Linked DNA regions of Kluyveromyces lactis. The protein of the gene in region 1 purifies or fractionates together with the protein of each later gene. This does not show direct contact. Links are inferred from orthologs where the notes say so. Each region holds a gene or a part of one and is shown in the gene's direction. Other genes may lie near its edges.

What was found.
Region 2: the proteins of HGH1 (region 1) and CCT6 purify together in Saccharomyces cerevisiae (affinity purification with mass spectrometry, with the first as the bait; 3 studies listed by BioGRID). This does not show direct contact. The link is inferred for Kluyveromyces lactis from reciprocal best matches to the Saccharomyces cerevisiae genes HGH1 and CCT6.

What each region holds. Positions count from the first base shown.
Region 1 is NC_006042.1:1,426,099-1,429,331, reverse strand, and holds HGH1 (Hgh1p), read left to right. Parts: upstream 1-1,334; coding exon 1,335-2,495; downstream 2,496-3,233. Other genes in the region: mRNA-binding protein PUF3, read left to right, coding at 1-209; EMC6 (Emc6p), read right to left, coding at 607-924; transcription factor IIF subunit TFG1, read right to left, coding at 2,681-3,233.
Region 2 is NC_006040.1:1,555,226-1,559,112, forward strand, and holds CCT6 (chaperonin-containing T-complex subunit CCT6), read left to right. Parts: upstream 1-1,512; coding exon 1,513-3,147; downstream 3,148-3,887. Other genes in the region: methionine aminopeptidase MAP1, read left to right, coding at 1-857; SLY1 (syntaxin-binding protein), read left to right, coding at 3,510-3,887. UniProt on the Saccharomyces cerevisiae protein: Molecular chaperone; assists the folding of proteins upon ATP hydrolysis. Known to play a role, in vitro, in the folding of actin and tubulin. In yeast may play a role in mitotic spindle formation.

The sequences.
Region 1 (3,233 bases):
ATGCACCATTGATTCTAATGATGCGGGATCAATACGCGAACTACGTTGTTCAAAAGCTCGTGGGTGTCGCAACTGGTGAAGATGAGAGGTTGATTGTTATTTCCATCAGATCCTATTTGGATAAATCCAATAAAAATAACACTTTGGGTAACAGGCATTTGGCTAGTGTTGAAAAGTTAGCAACTTTGGTGGAAAAAATTCAGATATAGATGTATGTCAGCCTCAACTTGGGAAAGCAAGACAAAAAAAATTGTTCTGCCTCGAATATTTGCATTTGATAACCACGCTTTCTTTCCCTAATAACTGGTTCACTTTCTAAATCATTCTATTGATGAAGATTGCCATTTCTTACGTTTTGTATCCCCGTGATATCTCTCACGAAGATCTTAATATCTTCTAAAATCTGTTGTTGAGAACAGATTACTACCTAATAAATTAATATCCTTTAAATGTACATATTGTTTATCATCATCCTGTTTATAATACATGCAAATATTTATCTCTGCTATAAGTTTTAATGACCATAATATTATAGTACTTCTAGAATCCTAATGGTGATATCGTTCAGATGAAATCAACCCGTTAATGCAAAATGTGTCATATGCGTTACCTGACCAAAGTGAACGCTAACGTCCAAGTCATGACAAACCCAGCTAGCTCGCGGAATAGATTTTTAACCCATATTTTATGCACTGGATTAGTAAAATATAGACTAGGCTTGAATTTGCAAAACCACGCTATAAATATGAGGTTCACCAGGATATAAACAGCAAAAAACATTCCAAAACCTGCAAAAGATTGAAGTTGCAATATCCCAGCACTAAGTCCTGCTGTCAGCATTGTAGAATCCTGTATCCGTAGTAGTTTGTTGTTGTTGAAACTTCCACTTTTGGAAGACTTTAGGTCGGTGAAGCGATAACTCATTTTCCAATGCTGTTATCTCGTAGTTATGATTGCAATTGGTTGCAATAAGCCAAGACTAGAATAAAAGTGATTTATTATGATAAATGCAGCACTTAAGGATCAATCGAATCGCAGATTGAAAAGCTCTGTTTCTAACGGTGGTTCTATTCATTTAATTGAAGATGGAGATCTGTTATTGTCGGTTTGATGCTGATGTAATTGTTACCCGCCTTAAAGAGTCGAACCTTTTCTTTCACGAAACTTGAGAAACGTTTGACAAACTCATCGCAGCTCATCGCATCAACCATATCTACGTTGGCAGTTGGTGTAACTAGGTATTGTTCACCAGCTAATCAACTATAACTTTCATTGTTCAATAAAACATCTTTGTTCGAAATATCTGCGTTTACTTGATACGATAAAGAGGGAAGATGTCCACGGAATTAGAAGAATTAGTGTCATTTTTGCATTCAGACCAGCCTGCCGTCAGACAGATTGCTCTTGATAATCTGGTTGGCTTCTCAACTGGAGCAAGTGCTGTCATTTTCAAATGTAATAATTACAAAGCTATAGAGGATCTAAAAGTTCTAGCTAAAGATAAGTCAAAAGTTATCGTTCAACAATCCACTACGATTTTAGCGAATTTATGTGATGATGTTACTATGAGAAAGTTGATCGTCAAGGATACTGAATTCCTACAGTACTTATCGTGGAAAATCTGTGATTTAGCTAACGCAAGTGCGGATATCATGTGTATTTTATTGTCTAATCTCGCCAAGGAAGACAATATTACCGAATTGTTTTCGTTTGTTAAGAAGGAAGACGATGGTATTCCATTAAACATAGAAGTCTTTAAAAGCAACAAAGTAATGGATTGCTTAATGGATTGTTTTGTGAAGGGTTACGATAGAAAGTTGAACAGATATGCCACTTATGACTACTTAGCTTATTTCTTTGCCGACATTTCGAGATTTAAGATTGGTAGAGAGTATTTCATTGAACAGCAGGAGTATGACGGCGTCATCCCAATTTCTAAACTATTGGTATTCACTGAAAAGTATGATGCTAAAACCAGAAGAGAAGGTGTGGCTTATACCATCAAGAATTCGTTATTTGATTCCGAAAAGCATGAAAACCTTTTGACTAATGAGGAAATCAATCTTTTACCTTATATTCTTCTACCGATTGCATCAGCTAAAGACTCCGAAATTGATGAAGAAGATATGTTCAATCTACCGGATGAATTGCAACTCTTACCTGCCGACAAAGAGAGAGATCCTATTCCTGAAATCATATGTGTGCATTTAGAAAGTATTTTATTGCTTTGTACCACTAAAGCCGGCAGAGAATACTTAAGATCGAAATCAGTATACCCATTGGTCAGAGAGTTACATAAAAATATTGGAAATGACGATATCGGTGAATTATCTCATAGAATTGTTAACATGTTGATGAGAGGTGAGCCGGAGAATCAAGTGATAGAAGAAATCGTGGCCAAATCTGCGGAAGATGGCGAAATAGCCGAGATAGAAGAAGAAGAAGAAGAAGAAGAGTCCGACGATGATGACGATGCTATCGTCGAAGTTTTATAAATGATAACTTCCTATAGATATCTTGTTTTCAAATAACATATATTTATTTTAAGCGTACTTATTGTTAATAAACTGACTATATCAATATGCTATTTCCTGCCCCTTCCAATTGGACCCAGGTGATATATATCAATTATCACTACATGTATATCTCCAGAGGTTTGAAAACGAGGAAATTATGTTAACTACTTACTCAATTCGAGGAATTTACCGTTCAGTTTAACAAGTTTCTTGACAAAAACCTTCATTCTTTCTTTATTGTCAGGATGTCTACCGACCTTTTCTTTCAATTGTCTGATTAATTGTTTCAAAGTCAACTGCTTGCCCTCAATTGCATTGATTATATCGTCTTCCGTTAACAAATCATCTGCCGAGTGATCAGACTTTGCCCTCTTATTGTCCATAGATTCTTGTGGCTGAGACTCTGCTGGACGTTTCTTCAAGTTTGGATTCCAGGCTCCTGCAGGGAAGTTCGATAATACTGATTTCTCACCAGTTAGTACAACGATATTTTGATTAATGCTTTTTACTACTAATTTTGGTGGACCTGATGGTGTGTCAGAAGCTTTCTTCTTTGGTGAGGATCTCCGACTTTGCTTTTCATTATCCTTCTCGGAATCTTTCTTATCCGAATCAGCTTGCTCTTCATCTTCCTCAGAGTGTGATAGATATGGGTTCTCTTCTGCATCAGATTCATATAAAGCACCCAGATCTGTTTTAAGGAGGGCTTTCTTGACT
Region 2 (3,887 bases), on another chromosome or scaffold:
AGATCGAGAAACCAGATTGGGCAGAAAATGGGCTACCCATCATCGAACAAAGAAATGATAGAACAAACAAGATTCCTGTCTACAATAAGGAGCAAATTAAGAGGATCAGAAAAGCTTGTGCTCTAGGTAGAGAAGTGCTAGATGTTGCGGCCGCCGCAGTTAGACCAGGTATCACTACGGATGAAATTGATGAGATAGTGCATAACGAGACTATCAAGAGGGGAGCATACCCATCTCCTCTCAACTACTATAATTTCCCTAAATCCGTCTGTACTTCTGTGAACGAGATTATCTGTCATGGTGTTCCTGACAAATATGTTCTAAAAGAGGGAGATATTGTCAATTTAGATGTCTCATTGTATTACCAAGGCATGCATGCAGATTTAAACGAAACTTACTACGTTGGTGAGACTATCGCCAAGGATGTCATAAATACCGTTGAAACTGCCCGTGAATGTTTGAAACTCGCCATCAAGATGTGTAAACCAGGCGTAACTTTTCAATCCTTGGGAGACTGCATTGAAAAGCACTCCAAATCCAACAAATGCTCTGTTGTTAGGACTTACTGTGGTCATGGTGTCGGTGAGTTTTTCCACTGTGCCCCCAGCATTCCACATTATGCTAACAACAGAACGCCCGGTGTCATGAAACCTGGAATGGTCTTCACTATAGAACCTATGATTAACGAAGGTGTATGGCAAGATATCACCTGGCCTGACGATTGGACTTCTTCAACAAAGGATGGTAAAGTTAGTGCTCAGTTTGAGCAAACCCTTTTGGTCACCGAGAATGGTGTTGAAGTCTTGACGGCAAGGAACAAGAAGTCTCCAGGCGGCCCAAGAAATAGGATAAAATAGACCCAGTGAAATGACAATAGTTAAAAAATGAATATCAATAGAGAAAGTTACTGTTTACCTCGTTTCGTATAGGAAACAATCCATAAAACAGCCATCATCGTCGTCATAACGGACATCATTTCGGCATAGTCTTTCATGTGAATAGATTCAATACATATCATCATATAAATCAATTTACAGAAGACCAAAATATTTAGAGAATTCTCATTGAAAACCACTATTAGTATTTATTATACTGAAGATGTGCGGTCCTACTAAAGTATAATCTTCATCATCTTTGCATAAATATGAGGATCACGACAGCATGGATTGTTGCTTTGCTTCAATAACCGGGTAACCATTAGCTTTCGCCACTTCCAAAGAAAAAAAATTAATCGAAAACAGTGATCTAAGTTTTCTGATGGAGAAAGTAAAGCTTTTAATTATGGCTAACGTTCGGTGTTGAAGAAGAATAACATTCAAAAGAGTGAAAGATACTGTTGCATTTTCGTCCACAACGTTGATTCTAATAGAACCGAAATCAATCTATACTCTCTAATATTTAGTTGTGATATTCATTGCAGTCAATTGCTTGCATCTTATTATCCAGATCAAAAGTCATAATTTGACAATACCAATTACGTGCAGTGCATAATAGAGAGAAAGCAAGATAATTATGTCAGTTCAGTTGTTAAATCCAAAGGCCGAGTCCCTAAGAAGAGATGCTGCTTTAAAAGTCAACGTCACTTCAGCGGAGGGTCTTCAATCCGTTTTGGAAACTAACCTAGGACCTAAGGGTACTTTGAAAATGTTGGTCGATGGTGCCGGTAATATCAAGTTGACCAAAGATGGTAAAGTCCTATTGACTGAAATGCAAATACAGTCTCCGACTGCTGTCATGATTGCTCGTGCAGCCACTGCCCAAGATGAAATTACTGGGGACGGTACTACAACCGTTGTCTGCTTGGTGGGAGAACTGATGAAACAAGCTTATAGATATATTCAAGAAGGTGTCCATCCAAGAACAATTACTGACGGGTTTGAGATTGCAAGAAAGGAAACCTTAAGTTTTTTGGATACCTTCAAAATCGAAAAGAGCGCTGAGGAGGATTTGGATCGTGAATTTTTATTGCAGGTTGCCAGAAGTTCCTTATGTACTAAAGTCAACCCAGAACTCACTGAAGTTTTAACACCAATCGTCACTGATGCTGTTTTGGCTGTTCAAGATCCTAACAACAGAAATCTAGATTTACACATGATTGAAATAATGCAAATGCAACATCTATCTCCACAGGATACCACTTTTGTTAAAGGATTAATTTTGGATCATGGAGGAAGACATCCTGATATGCCAACCAGAGTCGAAAATGCACATGTTTTGATTCTAAATGTTTCTTTGGAATATGAGAAGACGGAAGTCAACTCTGGTTTCTTTTACAGCTCTGCTGACCAACGAGACAAGTTGGCTGCTAGTGAAAGAAAATTTGTTGATGAGAAATTAAAAAAAATCATCGACTTGAAGAATGAAGTATGTGGTATGGATTCTAAAGAGGGTTTTGTTATCATAAACCAAAAAGGTATCGACCCAATGTCATTAGATGTTCTTGCTAAACACAACATTCTTGCTCTAAGAAGAGCCAAGAGACGTAATATGGAAAGACTACAACTCGTCACTGGGGGTGAAGCTCAAAATTCCGTTGATGATCTTTCGCCTAAAATTTTAGGTTATTCCGGATTGGTTTACCAGGAAACTATCGGCGAGGAGAAATTTACTTACGTCACCGAAAACAGAGATCCTAAGTCTTGTACCATTTTGATTAAAGGTTCTACTCACCACGCTTTGACCCAAACCAAAGATGCAGTAAGAGATGGTTTAAGAGCTGTTGCAAATGTCATCAAAGACAGTGCTGTCGTTCCTGGCGCTGGGGCATTCTTCATTTCTGCTTCCCAGCACTTGAAAAGGGCGAATATGAACAAGCTAGGCGCCAAAGGTAAAGCAAAAACAGGTGTACAAGCCTTTTCAGACGCACTTTTGTCTATTCCTAAGACATTAATAAAGAATTCCGGATATGATGCCCTTGATGTACTTGCCCAATGCCAAGACGAGTTGGAAGAAGATGAGACAAGAATAGTGGGTGTTGATCTAAATATTGGCGACTCTTGTGATCCAACTATAGAAGGTGTTTGGGACTCTTATCGTGTCCTCAGAAATGCAGTAACTGGTGCCGCAGGTATAGCCTCTAACTTGTTGCTATGCGACGAACTACTCAGAGCCGGTAGATCTACATTGAAGGAAGGTCCACCACAATAATGAAGCTGGTACAATTAAAAAATATCACTGTCTTTAACGTAGGTTCCAAAATCAAATAGAATTATGTATACTAAATGGAAATAAATACGAAGTACAAGACTCAAGTTTGGCCGATGTATATGTAATATGCGATCTCTTCACGAGTGCTATAGATCCAAATCTACGTGTTGGCCAAATACCGTTTCCATCACCGAAAACGAAATACTAATATACTTCAAAAAATGATTAAACATCAAAACTGGAAGCACCTTTATAATAAACAGACACACCAAAAGTACAGAAAGTACGGACGAGAGTGAAGTCATTGACTGCAAACCATTGAACAGCATACCTCATCGGGATCACATATATACCAGAGTAATATGCTGAATTCAGAATTGTCCTTAAGAGACAGACAGATTCTGTCTATTGAAAAGATGCTACTGTTCAATTCAGATAAAGGAACGGAAGCAGCAACAAGCAATCTTGATGAACAAGAGATCGTTTGGAAAGTACTGATCATGGATGCTAGGAGCACCGCTATAATATCATCTGTTATGAGAGTCAATGACTTGTTAAAATCCAATGTTACAGTTCACGCCCTTATCACACAACAGAGATCCCCTTTACCTGATGTTCCAGCAGTGTATTTCGTGGAACCAACAGAAGCGAACATCGATGCGATTGTCCAGGACTTGAAAGAAGATAAGTATTCAGAAACATACATCAATTTCACAACTACATTGAAAAGAGATCTTTTA